2 linked regions of the Lepisosteus oculatus genome follow. The protein of the gene in region 1 interacts with the protein of each later gene in a pairwise test. Links are inferred from orthologs where the notes say so. Each region holds a gene or a part of one and is shown on either strand. Other genes may lie near its edges.

Region 1 (12,507 bases):
TGTTTTTAGTTAGGGGGAGACTTATTGCCAGCACTCCTAATTAAGGAGGTCATACTGTATACAATACAAAAATGTATGTACTGTATAAAGAATTTATTTAAGAATGTTCTTAGAAACTATCGTAAAAAGTACAGTATATTAAAAGGAATTTTAAGAGGAATGAGGCTTGTAGTGGCATATTAAGGAGGATGTTAGTATTGCTATTTTACAGGCCTTGTGTACTGGGCTTGAACCCTTTTTGGAGCATCCACTGTTTGGAGCATGCATGTTTTTGCTGTGTTTACTTTCTTTTAACCAGTGCCCTGTTTTTTTTTCTCCCACCCTCCAAATACAGGCTGACTAGGTTTATTCATGTCTACAAAATTGACCCTGTGTGCTTTTGTGCGCCCTGCTAGAAGCTACAGTCCCATCTAGGGTGACTTCCTGCTTTGCAGACTGTGCTTCCAGGTACAGTAGGTGTCACAACTCCTACTGACCTAATTAATTATGTCTTTGGCTTCTGATTTCAGCTGAGGCTGTAACAGGGTCAAGACTTGAAGCACTTTTCTACAGTTTTTCTTTTTGCTTCTGGGTAAATGAACAGAAGCCTTCTGAGCGACGTGTGTCATCATTCCTGTCCGTTACAAAGAACAGCTCAGCCAAATGTTCAGTTGCACCTGTCTTAGCAAGTTTAAATAATAATTTCAACCACAGTTGTTCTCTTCTGAGCTTGTCAGCTTATGTTATGCTACACTGCAACGAGTCACTGCAAGATATTTCTCTTTCGCCTTGTGCCAAATGTAAATGGCAGCATCACAGGACAGTATTTCAGATTTACAATGTGAAAATGTTAAATTAGTTTGGTGCCTGGCTAAGCAGACAGGGGTCCTAAAAATCTGAAAGCCCAGACAGACCTTAAAGGAATGAACCTGCATGATCTTGTACGGACTCTGAGGTTAGTTGACCTCTGATCTGGACTTTCTGACATATGTGCCCTAATGGCTTTGTGGATGCTGTATGCTGCTGTATCTGTATCATTTGAAAAGTGTCAGTTTTCTTAAGAAGGTTAGAATCCCTAATTATTCCCCTGTATGAAATCCATCCATCTATCCATTTTCTTACCACTTTATCCAATTCAGGGAGCCTATCCCAGCAAGCAACTGGCACAAGGTGGGATACACCCTGGATGGGACACCAGTCCATCACAGGATACATAAAATTACGCACACACCCATACCAGGTATGGTTTTCCTAGAAGCCAACTAACCTACCAGCATATCTTTGGATAGTGGGAGGAAATCGGAGCACCTGGCAAAAACCCACAAAAAACATGAAAGGGAACATACAAATTCCACACACATAGCACTCCAGGTGCAGAATTTAACCCATGTCTCCAGTACCATGAGGCCATGATGTGTCATCACGTGTCACTGTACCACCATGCTATCCATGTGTCTTCATTATACCATATGAGCTGGGACAATTTGTCTAATATTGTGTGTTCAATTCTTTACACTTGTTTTGTATAGAAAAATCTGGACTCTAGAACACCTTCTGCATAGTACATTTACTTAGTCACCCACAGTATTAACATATCCTTGTCTAAACTATCAAACTATTTTTTGATTGGAGACAAAATTTTCAATTTGTTTGAAAGATTAAGAGAAGTATTAAAGTAATAAGAATCAATTAAAATTGATTAAATTGAAAAAAGTGTAGAAAAACCTAATTTATAAAGAAATTATGTTTCCATGATTGTATAAGTACAAAATGTATTTATTCAATATAAAAAGCTCTTCTCTTTCAGTAGCAATGTAATGCAACTGTAATGCCACTACAAAGAGGTGGTGATTTTTTCAACAGCCCACATCATTTTCTAACTCCTTGACTATTTACTCACAAGAACACTTGGGGCTGTATCTTAACAGAACAGGAATACCTACTACAATTGCATGGCTCTGTTGCTCATTTACACCCAGTGTAATGACCTAACAGTAGCTCAATAACAAACTTGTGAAATAAACACCTACTGTACCTCAGCAGGAACATCATAGTTTGAGCAGTACCTACAGTACTATGGGATTTCCTCAAGATTAGGTCACGTTTTAGGTCAGGGATCTGTGCCTTCTGTTAAAGATTCTCTGTACTGATTCTGAATATCAACATGCCTGTTGGATTTAAACATATTAAAGGTTGCCCTTTATCATTTCTCAAAGGCAACATACAAGTTTCAATATATCCCATTTAATCAGTATGTTAAATTGTTTGATTGGTAATTAAATTATTATATCGGCTACACCCAAGACGTAGGCTAGAGGGATTTTTAGGCTGATTGTTGATTTTCTTATGTCTAATCATTTGTATTTTGATTTGTGCAATAATAAAGATTATATAAACTTATTTTCAAAGAATTGTTAAGGTGTGAACATTGAAAAAATAATTTAACATAAAACATAATAAGAATTTCAAAAAAATATAATACTCTGTACTAAAGTATAATGCTCTCTACATACTTTATACAGTATGAATCTTTGAATTTTTCTACCATAAGTGCTATGAATATATTTAAAATGAGCTTGTAGCTAGCTTAAACTTTTGGTGCACATTAAACAGGTTCTGTTTATCTTCTGCTTTTAACAATTTAGTCTACCAAGAGACATGTACTTACTGTAGCTACAGTATGCTAATACACTACAATACATTAAGTGATTCTATCAGCCATGCATTCCCTTTTAATAGAGGCATAAAATATTACATTGCCTTTGAAAAGTGTCTGAACCTTGCCACTGTGCTTTCATTCCATGATTCATTTGATTTTTTCCCAACATGTTTTATAAGATCATACACAAGATAACTACTGTAAGCATTTTTTTGTTTTTATTAACGGACACATTCCACAATGAATCTGTTACACAGCTCTATTAATTTAATTGTATATAATGGTGTACAAAGAGTTTATACATCAGGTGAAGAAAATGTCCAGGGTTTTCTGTAGTCTTCTTTTTCTTGATAACCTGACTTCAGTTGTTGATCTTGGACATTGCAGGAAAAATTAATGAATGAAAGCACATTTAATGTACACGCTGTATCTAGCTTTCCTGTTCACTGGTTTTAAAATGGGACTTGCTGTTCTTGCAAGATAAAACACTTCCATTTTGAATCCCTAGTTCTGCACTGTACTGTTGGGCTGTCATTGCTCCCTGTCACACATATTTTATATAATGTATACATACTGTAAATACAGTATTCAGTGTGTTTAGCATAATCTATTAGGTTTGTGTTCAAGATATACAGTAATGTAATGATATGCTGATGCATGCTGATACAGCTAACATGCTGCTACAAAATATAACATATTTGAAAAATACATTTTTCAAATATATACAATATATATGTTATTTTAACCCTAAGAATTTTGGATTCTTCCAAAAACAATTTATGTTTATTATAAGCCTCTTCCTTGTGTATAAAACAATTAAATAATAGTTAAAACAGTATATCTTTGTGTAAAATTAAATTGACTAATATTACATTTTTCTTCTTCGTTCATGGGCTAACCACTGTTCATGATTTTAAACACTCACTAGTGTATTACAAGAAACCTGTGAAATCCCCTACTGCTGTCATCAATTAAAGCACATACTTCCAAAAATATACCACTTGACTAACAAATACTGTATGAAATGTCGAGTTTCACAACCAATGTGACACAGCAGAAAATGTGTCATGTAGTTGGAACATTCTTGGCAAAAGTCTAAACTATTGTATGTCATCAGGGAAGGTGAACAGGATTTCCATGGGTACCAAACCAGATTAAGTCAGGATTGCTGGGGTTATAGACACCTTTGTTACCTCTGATTTGTCATCACTCAACTGCAAGATCCTTCCAATTGATTCTAATTCTGCTGCATACTGCACATTGTGTACTATTTTAGGAATGGATAGCTGCACATCAGTACACCTTCTGAAGGAAGGCGTGCAAGATCTTTATCCTTCCCTTGGCTAGTATGAGGGTTTTAGCCAAGTTTACTAGGGGGTAGTTGAAAAAGAAATTCGGGAGAACCTTAAAAGTGCAACTAGATTTAGCCATACCTACTCTTAACACATAAAGTCCAAAAATAACTGTTAAAGTTACATCCCATTCGTACAAACATTGTATGGATCTTCAGAGTTGTAAGAATCCTTTGGCATACACATCAATGAAAAAAGATAATAGAAACCTTTACCAAAAAACAAACAAACATGGACTAGATCCATTGAGACAAAATATAGTTGAAACTATATTGAATATGAAACTATAAAGTTTTTTGGTATGATTTGGTCACATGTCATACTGTACTTGCAGTCAAGTGATCCCGGAAGTGGTAATTCCCTGGAAAACAGATCTTTATACTCTTTACTAGCACTCTACAGTATTCCATTAATATCTTCCATTTTAGACAGAAATGAGCAAGACAGCAAAACCTAAATCGAGACAAAGGTGATCAAATACAAATACATTACAGTGCAGACTCAAACCTCAACAAAGCCTGCATACATGTCATTAAACTTACCAATGCTCTAATTAAGTCTAAATATTTAGATTTATCCAAAGTACATTTGCTTCATTTTGTCATTTTTGTTTCTACTGCAGCTTTCACAGACTAAATAAAGTTTATTGTAAAACAAAAATATTTTCTTTTTCGCAATGCATTCACATTAGCTGTTTATCTAAACATTTTCAATTTTTTTTGCAGGGGACATTAAGTGGGTTTATTTGTCTGAATACTATGATGGCAAGATTTTCATGTATTAAATACAGATTAATCATAGAGTAGATGAAGGCTGAATACATTTTATTTGAATCTAATAAACAAACACTGTTTATTCATATAGATTTGATCTTTGGTAAATACCAAATACCAATATCCATACATGGCTTAAAAAAGTTATTTCTGATAGTTCTGATTGTTTCCATTAAGTCTTTGATAACACAATTACACAGATCTAACTCTTCTAAGACTTCTGCCTTGAATGTTAATCACCAGCACTACAGCTAGACAAAAATAAAGATCAGCTCATGTAAGAAACTGCTCTTGTTGAAGGACTTTAAAAGGTAATAGGAGTGTTATATTCCCTGTTGCTGATATTACAAAACACAAATGTGAGGTTAAACAACATGAATGACATTGAGTTGTACTACCCTTGTAAGGTACACATAAACAAAGGGAGCTGTTATCAAGTACAATTACTACTTATGGTAAAAACAAGTTTTGAGCTGCCCATCTAGCGATAGAAACTACTGAAAGTCCATGCTGTTTTTCCTACCTTCATTTTACTAGTACACATTCTAGTTATACTGTTTGACGAGCAGGTAGAGTGGAATGGAGTTGGTTGGGGGAACATCTGTTGGCAAAGCACACTTCTTTTCAATAAGCAGGTAAATCTTAATATTAAATATTATTTTTATAAAAATAAAAATATTATTTTTATTTTATTTGTATTAATACATATGTAATGCCCTAAGTTAAATGTAGGAGTAAATTGTTCTATAGACAATTGTTTTATAGGTATAATTATACATATTTTTATTTTTTTTCAAAAGTTTTATGTTACACAATACAAAAAAATTTTTGAAGGGTATACTTAATGAATATTTGGTTTCATGTCTGCACAACATTAGATCTGCTGTTCATCCATCTTGATTTTTCTACCTTGATCTTATGCTTATAACAGTTATTTTCAATTTTATTTTAGAATTGTCTCAGGACACATGCTTCTGTGCTAACTATAAGAAACGTAAATCTGGAAAAAAAAATGAAGTACATTTCTACCTTAATTCAGTCCATTGAAACAACATTTAAGAAGATGCAGCAAACGTCTTCACACCAATGAAAACAACAGTATTTGTGTCTCAAGTGTGTTCATGCACATATTTCTGTATTTGTTTTACACTTCTTTGAGGTTGACTTTAGTAATATTTATTAAGTATTGTGGATATTGTTTGACAGGTGGCACAGTGCCGCAGTAGGTAGCAGCACTGGGGCCCTGGATTCAGTTCCTGGGGTTCTATCTGAGTGGAGTTTGTATGTTCTCCCCAGATCTGTGTGGGTTTCCTCCTACAGTTCAAAGACAGGCTGGTAGATTAACTCGCTTCTGGGTAAATCTGGCCCTGGTGTGTGTCTGTGTGTGCCCTGCAATGGCCTGGTATCCTGCCCAGGGTGTATTCTGCCTGGTCCTTGTTTGTTGAGATAGGCTCTAGCTTCCCTGTGACCCTGTGCTGGACAAAGTGGTGAGTAATTGGAGAATGAGGTACTCAAGATTTTAATTTTTCCTGCTTTTCCTACCTTGAAGCAAATCCATGGATTTAAATGAGTCAATTGAAACATTCACTCTCACCCCTTCTGGTTCTAACCGGTTTGGTGGCAAAAATGGTAATATCACCATTCTTTTACATATGGGAAAATTACAGAAATTGCACTATTGTAAAAAAAAAGTAATAGATTATGTGTCATTGTAATGCCCCTGAATGTTTTGAAATTTTATTTAAATTTGATATTTTCTGTGTCCTTGTTATTATAAGTTCAGACAACTGCCTTTCTATTGTATATGCTGTCAACCAAATATTAATAGAAAGGATTTCACTTATATAAAAGGTGTATTACATTTCACAAACTCTGTTCAGTTTCTTTAAAATACTGAGGAAAATTTGTATTTTTTTCTCATTAATTCCATCTATATATAAATTACAGACAAAACGTCTTAGATTTTTTTTGTATAGCTAATCTGCATTTCTAACATCATAACACCTACATACAATGTTTTAATTTTAGAAGTTTGACCAAACCTGAACTACCGTACCGGGGTGAGAGAAATTGCCTTCTTTCCCTTTATAGTAACGCTTCCTGGAGTAATTGGACGTCATCCCCTTGACTGAAATGACGTCAGTCCCAAGAGCATGCAGTGACGTCAGTGCGGAGGGTTGCGTGGTGACGTAGACCTATTTAATACTGTCAGTGAGCGGAGGATGGAGACAGAGATGTTGACTGGGATTGGAGAGATGGAAAGCTGTGTTATAGACTCTAAATAACGAGGAGGATGGAATAGCAACAAAAAAAAATTGTAGCCCATGGTTAAAAACCTAAAACCTTTTATCCTCAATTATACCTCTGAATAGGCTTTCCACTCCTTTTTTGTACACAACCATTATCAGTGATGTACATTTCTGTGATTCTGTGAATATACAGAGGATGATGGAGCTATAAGAATGCACCAGGTTTCCTAACGGAAAAAAAGCTATGAAAAAAGCTGCCTTGGACAGTGCACTGGCGTCTTTTATCCTTTTTTGTACTGGTTTGATTTCTGATTTATCTCTTCCTTTCCGTGTGCCCATGTGACAGTGCGTTTTAATTTGCTCTGGAGGAATTTTGATGGCACAGAAGAGATAAGGAAACTGCAATACGAATGAATGGGGAATGGCAAAATAGTAACTCAATGCTGGAATGAAGGTTAAGCTTTTTTCTTGCCTGAGGATACAGCTTTCTGCGGTTTAGCCAGCTCCGTTCTGAAGAGGTGTCGGTTTTGGAAAGTAAATACCAGAGGGCGTTATGAAAGAACACGGAGTAGTAATACCCTGGCTTTCAGACCGAGTGGATATTTAAGGGTCATTCGGAGACCAGAGAAAGCAGCACTGCTGATAGCCCTCAGTGTACCTTTCTAACGAATGCAAGCTCTTCCCATTCATTTTAGTAAGAAAGGGAAGGAAAAGGATACTGTAGGTGGATTGCATACGCATTCGGGATTTTGTTAATCATGTACCTTGTTTCGAAGTAGCTATATCGCTATATGTTTTTTGGAATGCATAATTCTTAATGAAACCTGGGAATGCTAATTCGTGCAAGAAAAAAACATAGTTACCTTTGACGGAATGTGTATTCGTAAACGTGTATACATTTCTGTGGATCTGTTTTGAAATCAGTCAGCTTTAGACCGACGATCATAAAGGACTATATTGAAACAGTCATGTCTTGCTGAAGGAGCTGAATCTCAACAACCTCACCACACCACCCCCATCAAATCTCATCCACGGCGGCGTTATAATAGAAAATACAGTACTAACCATAGAGCAGAGGAATCTTTCATTTGCACTGACTGGATCATTTCAATCATCCAATCAACCAAAATGGGGTAAGTTATACGGCAATATGTATATTTGGTGAAATACTGTACTGTGTGTATTTTGGTCTCATAATATGAAATACAGTATACTGGTATCTTTTTTCATGGCCCCAAGTAAAGCTATGTAATGAAAGACTAGATGGTATAAATCTTTAGCATTACCTATATTCCTTATAACATAGTGCAGTTGAGCTGTCTCACAATGTTACTTACTCTAGGTCGTTTGTGATATACAGTAAGTGCATTGTATTATAGTCGCAGATAGTAGCTTATACCCAAAATCTGGTGGAGTGAGCCATGACTTTGGCCATGTTATTCCATTTGGAACTTCGTGAACTGTTTCTGAGTGAAGCAATTCTGTAACTTAAACCTACAACAATATAAGGGTAATTTACCACAGATTTAAATTTGGTTGGATACCATCCCACTAATGTAATGCTTTTGTACAGAAGGTTCACTGTTATGATTATTTCTTATTCATGAATTTGAATTAAACATTTCCCGTTTCGAAGAATGGGTTTAGAAGTGCATGTGTTACACAAGACACCCATGACGTTTACTCTGTTTATGTGATAGAAATAACATTGGAAATCGTTTATTTTTATGAAAGTGTTCCGTAGCAGATATCGTTCATTAGAACCACTTGCATGTTTTTTTAACAGCAATGAGTCACATTAAGTAAATTAAGCTCATACAGAACTTCCCGTATTTCACCATAAATCGGGGTGGAGAGAAGTTTGAAAATCTAATTAATGGTTAAAAATGTATGTCTTCTTAAGCCTTAGCATCCAATAACCTCTCAAGATTTACTTCATTTCCCGAAGACTTATCATAAAATAATTATTATTATTACGATTTACTCAATTACTGGCTTATGAGGAAGAAATTTGAAAAATATTAAAGTTTAATTTCCTTTGTTTTTATGAAACGTGATACACAATGTTTACAGTCACTTCTGTTTTTCCTGTAATTTTATTGTTTTACGTTACGTTTGGATTTTAGAATGAAAATTAATCGCATTTTATACATTCAGGTGACTTAAAATGTGGACTGTTTTCCTAGAATATATTTTAAAACTTGGATTTTAGGACAGAAGTAAGAGAATAATTTGCCTGATAAAAAAAAATGAGTGAGCAAGTTAGAGTTCCGAGGCAAACAGTAAGAGCTCGATGATAGTGAAAGGAATTTAAAAGTGGACTGCTATAAATTAACCTTTCAAAAAGTGCAGCTAGATAATGATTATTTAAAAATACCACAGGAAGCCAGAATCTGATTTCCAGTTATCTTGAGATATATCTATTTAATATTTTAAAATTTTAGTTTTCGAAATTATTTTTTCTTAAACGTCACCATGAGGTAAAGAGAATGTTAAACGTGTAAAAAACGTGTAAAAGTTTTGGGGTAGAGGTTTTGCAACGAGTGGAGACGTTCTGTCTCCTTAAAACGCGTTAATACTTAAAAGACGCAACTGTCATCGGACCTTTTTCTGTATTTTCCACAAAACTAAAAAATACAGTATAAAGAAAGTTCAACATTTCTCAGAAGTGTGTTCAAGCTTGTTATCTTCGTGGAATACAACGTCTGCCTAATCAGCTTCTTCGCAGATCAAATTAGCTTGATGAGCTGAAGTACAAAGTGCTTTAAGGACATATATTTCAGAAAAAGCATACCAAATCACAAATCGTCGTTTAGCTTTTGACTTTTGACACAAAGCAATCTTTCTTCAGCCTCTCAGAGGCTCCTTGACGAACATATGCACAGTTATTGGAGCTTGACAGTTCTGATTTACATTTGTCAGTACGAATCTTGTTCCACTGCTCTGGAAACAATGAGGCATGATCTTTTGAAGGAGAAAATCACTTTGATATATTGCTCTTTTTGCACAGTATGGCTTTCTTGGTCCCTTCCTAAAGAACAGATTTTAAAAATAGAACATGTTCAAGGTCACAAGATCCATTGATGGACAGGTTTGGATTTTAACATGATAATAGTCCAACTGCACAGTCAGAATTCACTTACTGTACAAGAGTCAAGTAGTACAACAGGTTTTGAAAACGATACACCTGCTTCCCCAGTCAGTTGACCTTATCACATTTAAGGAAAACATCATGGTAGGTTGAGCTTGACAAAAAGGTAATAGAAAAAAAGTAGAACCAGCATTAACAAGCTGAAGGAAATTGTTAGGGCAGAATAAACAAAAATAAAGAGTGAACTGTTGCTAATGTACTGTGTGATGGGAAAGAGATTGTGCAGCTGTGATTGAGGAAGGATAATTCTGATGAGACATGTTTGTGGAAAACACATCAACTGTTCAATTTTATTTTGATATGGGCAATACAGTTTTATCTTGTTTATTCCAGTTCTTTTTCAGATTCTACCTTTGAGATACGGTACTGTACTGTTTTCAGTACAGTTCCCAAATGGGCCCATGATTTGTCTTCACAAGTGGTAATTGGTGTGTGTGTGTAATGCAGTATATTTATTTTTTTAAATATGTATAAGAAAGTATCCTGGAGGTTCTATTGTGAAGTTAGAAAAACATTCGTGTACATGGGTGGTTGGGCAGTGACACGAAACAGTGTCAGTCTTATCTGAATATCTTCTGAAGTTTTGTTTGTACAGTATGTGGACTGCTGATGCATCACACTTACATTAGGAATCAAAGCAGTGTATATTGTCACTGTACACATTACTTGGTATTCTCTTTTTTGTAATGAGGGATTGCATTTGGATTAGTAATTCCAGGCCTTGTAAATTTGTCTCAACCCATACCATTTCTCATGATGGAATTATAAAACCTCACTAACACTCCTACTCATATACATAGTCATTGGCTATGTTTAAGCTACATGCTGTTAAAGCAGTACAGTAGTGGGTGACTACAATAAGCTAAAGGTATTCAAAAGCCACATAGAGGATTTTGTGGAGATTCAAATATATTGCAGTGTAATTAATAATGTAGGAAAGGATAGGAATAACTGGTGCTGTGGAGTTGTTTTTAAAACTCGTGTTGACTGGATACTGTTCAGTTGTCATGCTCTTTGCTACTTTAAAACTGCTCCTTTGGACTGTTTTTTTTATTAATGTGGGACAGGTAAAAACCATAATTTCATCAAAAAGTAATACAGCATTTGTGCATAATCTGTAATATAACCTGTACATAAAGTCGTGTTGATTTCTGTTTGTTTGGTCATTTTATTTCTTATCAGCGGTTGGTCTTCATGAATGTTAATTTCTCAACAGATTCCTGATTGCTTTTTGGCATGTTGTAGGGATCTGTGCAGTGGTTTTCTGTATTATTATCTTTCTATATTTGGGCAAAGAATTAAGTATTATGGGAGAAGGATTCAGCTTTCTGTTGAGTGTACTGTAGATTTATTAATGACTTCTTTGTACCTTCCATTATCACAAACAATCCTTCTGATATAAAGCTTTCAATGAAGCAGAACCTCTAATGAAGTCAGTTTTTATGCACGAGTTAACAACAAACACCTACCAAATGTTGTTTATTTTTACCCTTTACTACTAAATTAGGAAATTTGTTATGTTTGATATTACATGTGTAATCATGGCTGGCATTGTTACTCATGAAATGGTAACCATGCTATGCCAGTAGCTACTGTACAGTATATTACCCTGCAGCTCACAGCTGGCAACTGAAGCTAGGCTGGTCAGTACCAGAATGGGAGAGCTCCTGGGAAAAACTAAGGTTGCTTCTGGAAGAGGTGTCAGTGGGGCCAGTATGGGGCACTTATACTGCAGCCTGTGTGGGTCCTAATGCCCTAGTATAGTGACGGGGACACTATACTGTAAAATGGTGCCGTCCTTCGGATGAGACATAAAAGAGACTTTCTGTGGTCTTTAAAAACCCAGGGCATTTCTCGAAAAGAGTAGGGGTGTTACCCTGGTGTCCTGGCCAAATTTCCCATTGGCCCTTACCGATCACATAAATCCCCATTTATGTATTGGCTTTATTACTCTGTTCTCCTCCTCACTAACAGCTGATGTGTGGTGAGAGTACTGCTGCACTATGACTGCCGTCGCATCATCCAGATGGGGCTGCACATTGGTGGTGGTGGAAGGGAGTCCTTATTACTTGTCAAGCACTTTGTGTGGAGCTTCCAGAAAAGCGGTATATAAGTGTAAGCAATTATTATTATTATCAACCACACTAATAGTGGTTAGCATTGCGGCCTCACTGCACTTCAGGTTCAATTCCAGACCTGGGGTTGCTGTCTGCATGGAATTTGTGTGTTTTTCCATGTTTGCTAGGTGCTCTGGTTTCCTCCCACAGTTCAAAGACGTACAGGTATGTTAATTGGCTGCTGGGAAAACTGGTCCTGGTGTGAGTGTGTGCATGTCTGTGCCTGT
Region 2 (11,626 bases), on another chromosome or scaffold:
AGATGCGTGGTCTCATAGCGCAAATTGTGGCCAGCGACCCGGCCTCGTACTCGGAGGCGGTCTTGGGGAAGTCGAACGAGGACTACTGCAGCTGGATCAGGAGGGATGACACCTGGGGCGGCGCCATCGAGGTGTCCATCCTATCCAAGTTCTACAAGTGCGAGATCTGTGTGGTGGACACGCAGACAGTGCGGGTGGACCGTTTCGGGGAGGACGCCGGCTACAACAGGAGGGTCTTGCTCATTTACGACGGGATCCACTACGACCCCCTCCAGAAGGAAATCTCCGGCTCGGACACGCCACCCCAGACCATCTTCTCCACGGCGGACGACATTATCCTGGCCCAGGCTCTGGAGCTGGCGGACGAGGCGAGGAGGAAGCGGCAGTTCACCGACGTCAACCGCTTCTCGCTGCGGTGCATGGTGTGTCAGACCGGCCTGGTGGGACAGGCAGAGGCTCGGGAGCATGCCAAGGAAACGGGACATACCAACTTCGGGGAGGTGTGAGTCACGCTTGCTCGCGCGCTCTCCCTGTCCCCGAGGTGCATTCTTCTACCTCACTACCCTAGCATAGTTCTTGGGTCCTTGTGGACATACTGTACCAAGATCCGTTAGTCCAGTAGTCAGTGTTACATTCAACTAAAGTGAACTAAGCTAAAAACCAACATGGCTGCTTTGCTAGGGCTTGAATCTAGTTGATTTTGTTTTTTTCAGGTCACGGTTATTATTGTATGTGCTGCAGATCATATTATCCTGCTTGCGTAACAAGGTGCATCTGTTGCTAAGCCCACAAGACTTTGATATTGAAACCAAAATCCTGAGGTGAGACATGTGCCTCTAGTCTCTTATTCCTACAAAAGTGCAATAGCACCACTGCAGCACCCTTTTTGGTTTCATCCTATTTTTCATGAAGATTTAGTTTTCCGTTTTAAAGGACCCTCTTGTTATCTATCTGGTGTATGGCCGTTTAAATTTTGAAACTTGAGGCTTTGGCGCTGAACAGTTGAACAGCGTGTTTTATTTAAAAAAAGGATGTTAACCCCAGGCATTTGAAAACAATGTCAGAATTGTATTTTTTGACTTTGTGCCTCAGTACCTGGGCATTATAACTAAGTATTAGATCAAACATTTATGAAACACATCAGCTTATATAGGGAAGATTGCAGTTCTGAAAAATATCATAGTATTAAATATTGTTCCATCTGCTCACTCAGAAGCTTAAACTTTTCTGTTTTAATGTTAGAATTATAGAGAATTTGCCATGCATCAAAACTGCCAAAATGAATGTGTCTGAAACTATCAAAACACTTAAAAAATCTGCAGAGTACGATTTCCTTTGCAGTAAGAGTTTCCTTCTTGAAATGTATGGTTTATTTAAAGTGAGAGCATTTAACTGAGTTCTTTCTCTTACAGACTGAGTTCTATATTTAACTACTTTTGCAACTAAATCCTATTATAGGTCATGATATCATGCAGGAAAGGCAATTTATAACATTAAAAGTGGCCTTGAAGTATTAATTTTGCCCATTAAATTACCAACAACTTTATTCTTTCAGGAGACAGGAGAGTCGACTCCTAATTCTAGAGGGCTGGAGAATTTGCAAGGTTTCTATGTCCTTATAAAAAGAGCTGAGCAGTTGTTATGTTGGTTCAATTAAGCTAATATAATAGCAAACTTATTTACATTAAGGGCTGTGTCTGAAACCTTGCACATATGCCACTCCACGAACCATTTCTGAATTTCAAAAATAAGCATACATTATGACATATAACCTGTTGCTTATATAAAACCCATTTTTCCCTTTTTATTGAATTGTACAGTTTTAGGCAGATAATGTAAGAATGCTTATCACATTACCATTGCGATTTTGAAGACAAAGCTGCATGGGTTTTCTTATCTGCTACTGAAAGAGTTTCAGATTTTAGGTAGACAAGCATGCAATATACAGCATTGTGTTTGGATTTGGTGCTATTAAAAATCTTAGTTTAGAAATCTACAGTTGTGGCTTATTCAACAAAGCATTAAAATAGTTGGATTTTCTATGAACTAAGAGGAGTGATAGATGTAGAGTTTCTGTGCTTCTTGACATGTTAAAAGTTTACATACATAGATGATGCTCTGAAACAGAGTTGGGTACTGTATATGAGCTTTTCCTTATGCAGAGTTCTCAAAGTCTTTCACTGAACATTTTGCACTGTAATTAGAAAATACAGAGAGAAATTAAAGACTCTCGATGAACATTGAGCCAGTGAGCCATGTGTAGGTTACCCATATTCAGACACTTGAATATAAACTGATCTGTGTTGACTGCCAGAAGGCACAAATGTCGTTCAAAAGAGGGCAGGAGAACGTATGGTTAGGTTTTTCATTTGTCATTGTTACTGTGGTGTATCTTAGTAACTGTAGCCAGAGATCTGATTAGATCCAATTGCATTGTCTCCCATAGAAAAATAATTGGGGGAGGGGAGTTAAATACCAGAAACATTGCATTTGGTATTTTATGAGATCGACTGACGGGATGATAACTTTTTCTATTGCATTCAAGGCACTGAGTCGGCTTAATTCTTCTGTGCTTATATTTCAGGGATACACCATCTCCAAAATTATATATGATTTTAAATCTCTAATTTTGTTACAGGGCCTCCTGACCTGTATTGAACTTTTTATTGTTATGGAACTGTGTGGTCAGATTTTAATCTTACGGATCCCCTTCAGGTCTAAAATAAAACTTTTAAAAGATGTAGCACTACTTTTAAATTTCTTAAGAATGCTAATGACTAGGTTTCACTGAAAATGTCTTGGGATGTGTTCTCATTTATTTTAAAAAATGTGATGGGAGTAGTTAGTATTTTCTATTTTTATATATACTCTCACTCATGGCTGGAAGTTTCAAGTAGTACATTTAATTACCTTTAATTGACCAGATTTAGAATTTCTTAACTATGCTATGAAAACAAATGTGTTTGTGGCGCATGTGACTGAACCACGGTGTTCATTGGGTATTTTAAAACACAATAGTTACTACTGTTAAGTATGAATATTATAAAGTACTTAACTCGCACAAGCTTTTGGTTTTCATCTGCAAAGAGTGATGTGGAGAATGAAAATGTAAAGAAATGAATTTCTGCATTACGTATTTTTATTATTGTTTCTTTGTCTTCAACAATGCAGAATATAAAGCAAGATCGTGCAGTACGTTGAGAAATTTAATGTTAGCAGTACTTGGAGCTTTTCACCAGGAATGCCACTGTATGTGTTGGTGTAATCTAAACCTCTGTCAAAACTGAAACATGGCTTTAAAACGTTGTTCTCTATTCACAGTAACTCCACATGCATGGATACGCAAGCCTATGAACCCATTACATTTACTCACAGCTTCTGAATGTTGCACATCAAGCACTATAGAGAAACACTACTGGTTTTACCTGATTTTTCGTTATTGTGTTTCTTTGAATTTAATAGAACATGTTGAGATTGATTCTGTATGTTTAATGAGTTCTTGTATGTTTAATGGTATCTGGCTTGGGGGTCTGGTAGTGATGCAGGAGAGCCAAACACACCTGCTCTAAGGGGATTTAATTAAGTTGTAAATGCAGCAGTTATGTTTGGCATTGCACTCAATTAAAAATAATTTATTTTGACTTGCTATTGCTTGTGAAAATAGCTCTTATTTCTGATCGCATGATATTGTTCACCTTGTATGCCAACAGAAAACAAGCTGCCCCCTTGAATTTCTGGAAAGAACTGTAGGATCCATCTGAGCTGTGTCAAGTGCCTATGTTTTAACCTAGTACTAGGGTAACCAAATGTAAGAATTCATTCAATCTAGCAGAATCTCTGGCACTGTATTACACACAAACCCATCTGCGACTCTCTGCATTGATCCGAAACAATCCTGTTTTCTCTTGTTCCAGACTCCCATCTCCTTTTTTGAGGCTCAAATTGGACTCATGAAGATAGAATATAAATGTACATATTAGTAATTAAAAGAAGTACATGGGTATCCCTTTTTTTTTCTTGTGTTAAGGCTACTTAAAGCCATTGTTTACAACACAAAAAAAATACAGAATACAGCTGAATGTTAAATGTTGAAGCAGTTTACCAGAGCAAAAAATAAGTCTTATAATTGCGTTAATTTTATTTGTTGCCATCGCAATTTATTCCAGATGCATTTGAAGTTATTTGTGAGTTCGTGTCAAAATGCTGATTTTTGTTACTTGGTATGTCAGCCACTGTCTTTTGACTCTATTTTAACAATGTTTGCACCACCTATGACAAAAGTGAGGTTACACACTGCAGTGTTATTTTATAATGCTGGATATAGGCATAGTACCTTTTGGAAGCAAAATAAAAATAAATAGAAAAAAATAAACTCTTTCTACTTTTGTCTGTTTCTAAATTGGCTTTCTGTAATGTGATTAGCTTGCATGACCAAATTCTCAGGTCTGTGTTTGCATTATAAATATATTTCTAATTCATTGTGCAGGGCAGTTTTGCATGTTACCATTGTAAAGATTTAAAAGTATGAGGATCAGAGGATCAGATCAAAAGTAAGATCCTATGGAATAGCTGACATGGATCAAGCATATACAGTAATGTGGTGTAGTTATGCCTAGCACCCTATTCTTCACAGCTAGGCTCTGGGCAGATGCTTCCCTTCCTAGGAATAAGAAGCTTTCTTACAATGGATAACGGACACTGTATATGAATGTATAGTGTATTGAATGAAGCGTTTACAGGCAACTCAGTTCCTTGAAGGAAAGCTTCATACAAGTTTTTAGGTACTTTCCAACCAGAATCTAGTTGACATGGGTTAACATTTTACCAAATAATTTCATTTACGTATTTACGTATCTGCGCTAGAATGAAAATTCAAAGGCATCAGGTTCTCGAGGACTGCCAATGATGACTTTCACCTAAGATGAACACGAGGAATTTCCAATGTAATCCATTCATCCATCCATTTTCTAATGCCAGTACATCGCAGGACACGCACAGGCATTCATACCAGGGCCAGTTTTCCCACAAGCCAATTAACCTACAGTACCAGTATGACTTTGGACTGTTGGTGGAAACTAGAGCACCCTGAGACAACTCACACAGATGTGCTGAAAACAAACTCCATGCAGATAGCTCCCCAAGTACAGGAGTTAAGGCCAGAGTTACGAGGCAACAATGCTAACCACTGTACAACTGTGCCACCTTTTCAATGTTATAATAATATCAAAATCAACAGTTAATGTCTTTAATTCATCTGCTCTGAGACACCTGGTCAGTCGTCCAACAAATAACCTGTTTTAAGTGATATGACCCTTTATTTGTGGACGTTACAAAGGTTGGGCTGGTCTTTGAGGAGGAAAGAGTATTTTTGTGTATAATCAGAGTTTGCAATGCACATTTTCTCTTCCTGCCTTTGGTTCCAGGTGGAAACTGCCCACGTCGAGCCCCGTCATTCACATGTTTCACTGCATTCTACATACATAACTGCAGATATCTGGAGTCTTTTTAACAGAGGACACCCACAAATCACACAATTCAAATTCATGCAGGTTTTTCAAGTTAGCTCCAGCCAAAGGCAGACTGAAGTAACCACTAAATAAATAAAAAAAACTACAGCTAAAAGTAGGTGGGGGTAAGAGCAAGACTAAAAATGCCTAATACTTATTAAGTATTAAAAACAATAATATGGCACATAGAAATACGTAAATATGTTCCCAAATATAAAACATTGTTTATAGTTTTAAAAATATTTAAAATATTTTTTTTTTCGAGCAGGTCAGTTTGTCTTTGTAATTACAGTAGGTTGTGTTTTGATTCTGCAGAAGGTTTTTGGTAACAGGTTACTCACGTGAATAATTGAATGTCCATTTTTGACAAAAACAAGTGCTGTGTCCTAAGGATTTATAATATGGGTTTGTTATGGCGGTGTGCTGTTCACAAGGGGATTTCCAAAACAAAAAAGTAATTGATTTTGGAATAATTGAAGGTACAGTCTTATAGAATTTTAATCATTATCACTTTAAAACACTTTTTCATTACTTTTAATATTAATGGGCACTACGCATCTTTAAATGCCCAAAAGTCTTTATAAATCCATAATTGCTGGTCATTTAACTATAAAAGCTCTGCCTCATCATGCGATCACACAGGACTTATAAATGGGTATGACCTAATCTTGAGTCATTGCGCATCTTGGTTTCTTTGTTAATGAAATGTATATATATAGGTTTTTTACGAGCACCATCTGTGCCTAGTTTAATAATGCTCAATACTGAACAACCCTGAAAATGACAGAAGCCTATTAGTGTCACAGAGAAGTCAGTGGCGTATGGAGAATATCCATGAAATTGAAATAAATGAATGCTTCTCAGGCATTTTCCACACGGAGATGTCACAGGCTGTTCAACCTAACCCCCCTAATAAATTGTTGTGCATTTAAGCATTAAGTAATGTAGATAGTTCACATATTCTGAAATGCTTACATCACACAATCTTCATAAAAATATTCTGAAATAGAATATGAGATTATGAGATAGATCTCATAATGGCCTTGTAGCTCTGATAAAGATGCCATTTACAGATATTGACTACAATGAATACAGAACTTCCTTTGTAAATTGACAGAACACTGACAAATGTACTGTACAAATTTGTTTCCACTTATAAAGTCTTGATTTAAATGATTTGCCAAGTTTTATTTTCTATGCAAGCCTATTAACACTACAGAGACAAAACAGGGTTCAGTACACTTCAGTTCCAATGTATACTATATGGTCTGATACTCGTCTTTCTACAAGATACAGTAAAATACTGTAGATACTGTACATACCGTGTGATGATCTGAGTGTGTGGATAGTTCCGTCTCTAAAGCTGGTCTATATTCAGTGGATAGGGCATATGTTACACCTCAGATTCTTCTGTACCACAGCACCACAGCACCACAGCACAGATCTATGGAAGCTAATAATGACCTGTGTAATGTATTCCAAAGATTTAAATGGGATTATGTCATTACCAATTTACTTGGATTAGACTAAAAGTTATTTTGACTAATCTTTTACCTTTATACAGGATTTGAAGAAGGTGTGGATGTTGAATAATTTTTGCTTTCATGTAGACGCACACAATGAGGAGTTGAAACACATTCTCTGGTTTAAAGTAAAGCCTTACGTGTGTTTGGAAAAGGACCTCTCTTCCCAAAACCTTCACCCTCTGAAACATAGGAGATTTGCCTGGTCTGCCCTTTTTTTCTTTGCTCTTGCTCATTGTGCTGATTGTGCAAAAGTTTTTGTCTTTGTACCAATATCCATGAAATTGAAATAAATGAAAAATTTGCAGTCATTCTCCACACAGAGATGTCACGGACTGCTCAGCCTAACCCTCCTAAAAAGTACTAGTGGCATCATCCTCGGTGGAGAAGTGTTCTCCATTTAGCCTGACCTGAAAGGATCAGTGGTATTCCAAGGGTGACTTGGATCTGGGCTGTGGTGTTAAACACAAAAACAAAATGGAATTATTTTAATTGCAAGGTTTTTCTTATTTTTTTTCCTCAGGAAATTCAATGTTGCAGTTCTGGATTGCTAAAAAGTCCGTTTGCAGGCCAGATATTGTCTTCTAACTTGTGTACAACAGACCAATCAATGTATGGTAGGTACCATGTATGATGGTTGATATATGAGAGTCTTGTCGTTACAGATCTCTACTTGTAGTGATTAATGGTAACATGACTGCTCTGCATTGATCAAGTCCTGCGGCCATACTTGCAGCCTTATTCTGATATAACAGCATTCCAGCAGGGCAACATAAATAGATGCAAGTAATAGGTTTATTCCTTGCTGAAAAGAGAATAAAGAAAACGCAATGTTTCAGCCGTGCAGTCTTCTTCACGCTCCACAGCAGAAACGTTGTGTTTTCTTTCTATTCTTTTCAGCAAGGAATAAACCTATTACTTGTTCCTTTGCAGCCTACGCATGCTGACGCAGCTACCCACCTGAACATAAATAGATGTTTGTGTCTTCTAAGTCGTTATCTATTCTTTAACTTTAAAGCGAAACTATGGAAAAACAAAGACGTGACCACACTGGACATTCTCTGACTAGTGTTATTTTAAATGTTATATTTAAATACCTATTTATGCATTATTAACTTCTGTAAGTGTTTGCTATGCTGGCTCTGAAATGCCTTGTTTGTAAATATGTACATAGAGTAACTTGTGATTTGTATGCTTTGTTGTGGGTAGTGTAGTTTGTCTTGTCATCATCATCAATATTTTTTTTTAACCAAGCATGACTAGATTATTACTCCTGTCACCAAAGCGGTGCCAAAGAATAAAGAATTCACGTGCCTCTAATTATATCAACTGGCCAGGTGTATTCTGAAGAAATCACTTACATGTTGGGGGTTATGAAGTCAAATCCTGATTTTCACCAGTTTCGTAACCCCCCATTTGCCAGTACATTTGGGTGGGAGCCAGGGCTTATCCTGGCAAGCAATGGGAACAAGGTGGGATACATCCTGGATGGAATGCCAGTCTATCGCAAGGCACACACTGACAAAGACAAGCACACACTTACACCAGGGGCAAGTTTCCCAGAAGCCAGTTAACCTACTAGTATGTTTATAGACTGTGGGACTAAATGAGAGAGCACCCATGGGAAACCCATGGAAGTTGGAAAACATACAAACTCCACACATATACACACCTGGAACTGAGCCTAAGGCCACAGTGCTTTGAGGTAGCAACGCTAACCACTGCACCATAACCCTATAATTGAATTACAATTTTTAATAAGAAGGACAATAACAACATAACACAAAGCCTCATGAGTAAGTGAATCGCAAGAGCAGTGCTTTCTCTCTATCACAGAGCAGACAAGAATACTACTTCTGCTTTTATTTTGCTACTTTACACCCAGTAAGATTATATACTACACTATATATATATACACTGTATAGACTACAGGGATAGGACATGATGCATTGCTCCCTTGTCAACGGTGTCTAAGTGTAGTGCCATAGGGCTGTAAAACAGCAAGCACAGACAGCCGTTTCTCGCCTTGAATTTCCGTCAAACTTGCACTGCATTGCACATCTCACCAAACCTTTAGTGTTATATACACGTGGTGTACGTTCTGAATCTCTCTGTTTTTGAGGAAGAATGTGTTCCAGGGAAGCCGTTGAAGTGCTTTATTGGTACTTTGATAAGACCAGTTTAGCAAGGTGTCGAATATTCCCGTATTGATCATATGCATCTACAGTTTCCTGTTGTTGACAGGGTATGGATTGCTGTAATATGTGAGAGGATACATGCAGTACAGTATCGTTACCTTGTTGCTGTGAGACACCTCCTTCTTTTATACAAAGCACTAGAATCGACGCCGTGGAACCTGTAACGATACGAAACTAATTCACCAGGGACTAATCTCATTTACAGTTATAGCACTGCAAGAACTATACCGCAGTGCCATCAGCTTCTTCGCCTGATAGTTAGTGCTGTCTCAATATTACGTCATGTGCTTGACCTTTTCTACAACAGTACAACAGTTTTCTACAACTGTACTATTACAATAACAACGTCAAACATCATAATCAAAAACAACAACAACAACAACAACAACAATAATAATAATAATAATAATAATAATAATAATTAATAATAATAATACTCGTAATTACAATAGTTGATTTAATCTGTTTATTTCTTATAATTGTAAATGCAAACTATAAATATATAAATATTCATTGTAAAGAGACACTTTGAACTTTCTCCCTAAGCAAATACATAAAACCAACAAAGACGCGAACACTAATTACGCGAAGTAATTGGATCGCTTTGGGCGTGTTGTCTAAGCGGGTTTCATTTTAAAGCCAGTTTGTCATTGGCTGCACCTGCGGGAATGGGCGGCCTCACCGTGTTCTGATTGGCGCCGGAGACTCGGGACAGGAGCAGACTGACTGAAGTCGGGAGATTATTGCCTCACCTGTGCAGTAATAGAGTCAGCGGCCAGAGGTTGCTTGCGAGGGCGCAACTTTGTGGAATACATAAATAGCTTTAAAGGGTCTTGATTATCCTTCGTATAAAGGTAAGTCGATTTTTGTCGTGTTCTTCATCAGGACCATAAACGATGTTCACGATGCAGCTGTGAAACGTATATGGACCTCATACAAAAGGAAATCAACTGCACATTTCTCTCTGTTGGGGTAGATAATATTGTTAGCATTTCATTTTCAGTGTGCGTACGTACTGTAGGTGTCTCGATGTATTTAAGACTTCGTGAAGACTGTGTCAAGTAAAACTTACAAACATTTTTGAAAAATTTATGTATTCGTCATTTTAAGCATCAATCTTAACGTGAACAATGCATTTTATTCTGCTGTACTAATTAAACACTTTATGTAATGTATCTCTGAAAGATATTCACTTTTGTAAACTGATCAGACTTTTATCAATCTTAACACTGCATTGAGCTCGATTAGCACACAGATCCATACTGGTGTTGCAAACAGTGATCAGTTTTTACGCTACTAGAATGTCAGTTGCGCATAAATATAAAAACACCTCACACAAAACCCACGCACCACACTCATAAATACAAAAATCTGAAGAAGGCTCCACAGGAGAAACGCTGTTTCCTTTCTTCTCTTTTCAGCACAGAATAAACCCTTACTTGTTTCTTAATATAAAAACTAATTGCGTGTTATAATATACTGTACGGTACGCTTCAGACATTTTTCTTCATGAATAATAACACGATTAGACAAATTCCGCAAACGGATGTGCTTGTCACGTTCGCTTTCTTGTAGGGTGGTCATTTATTTTCAAAACTGTAATTTGTAATTTTGTTAAAAAATGGCATCCCTAAAACTCAACATTTAATGATTGACTACACCCACCTTCTATGATGAGTCCAGTGGAAAGCCGGTTTCCCGTATTTTTTTCTTCTTGGTCCCATGCTGGGCAAATATTGGCTCAGGGCTATTAAGTACACACAAAGTTATGAAAGTCCTAACAGCATGCAGTACGTCGTGTGGTAGGAGTTTAATATCAAATACTAAACGTACTTTAGAGAATTAAAGCCTTTTTACATCACGGTAAAGAAAAACATACAGTAGTTTGTTCCTAGAGAGACTTACCACCATGTAGCCTGATCTGTGAAATCTCAGAAAATTAGCAAGGTTGGGCTTGGTCATTACTAGGATGGGAGACCTCCGAGAAAAAACAGTTTGCTGCTGTTAGTGGACCACTGGGTGGCACTTGTACTTCTGGACCATCCATTTTCTAACTGCTTCTTCCAATTCAGGGTTGTGGGGGAGCCGGAGTCTATCTCGGCAAGAAATGTGTACAGAGCTGGGTACACCCTGAATGAGACACCAGTCCATCACAGGGAAGACACACAGACACACACGCCAGGGCCAATTTTCCCAGAAGCCAATTAACCTACCAGTATATCTTTGGAATGTGGGAAGCCCAAGGAAACATGGGGAGAACATACAGAAAGCACCCCAGATTGGTAATTGAACTCAGGGCCCCAGCCACTATGCCACAAAGTCACCACACCTCTGGATCACAGTTTCCCAACCAGTGTGGTGATGGGGAACACTGCTGGAGGTGCAGTGCTACAGTAAA

What was found.
Region 2: the proteins of homer1b (region 1) and specifically androgen-regulated gene protein interact in binary tests that used the Homo sapiens proteins (3 or more experiments, as listed by UniProt). The link is inferred for Lepisosteus oculatus from reciprocal best matches to the Homo sapiens genes HOMER1 and C1orf116.

Annotation. Positions count from the first base shown.
Region 1 is NC_090698.1:41,962,844-41,975,350, forward strand, and holds the start of homer1b (homer protein homolog 1b), read left to right. Parts: upstream 1-6,992; 5' UTR 6,993-8,140; coding exon 8,141-8,145; intron 8,146-12,507. UniProt on the Homo sapiens protein: Postsynaptic density scaffolding protein. Binds and cross-links cytoplasmic regions of GRM1, GRM5, ITPR1, DNM3, RYR1, RYR2, SHANK1 and SHANK3.
Region 2 is NC_090700.1:33,675,564-33,687,189, reverse strand, and holds the start of specifically androgen-regulated gene protein, read left to right. Parts: upstream 1-6,067; 5' UTR 6,068-7,647; intron 7,648-9,836; exon of another isoform or gene 9,837-10,082; intron 10,083-11,626. Other genes in the region: yod1 (ubiquitin thioesterase OTU1), read left to right, coding at 1-506. UniProt on the Homo sapiens protein: Putative androgen-specific receptor.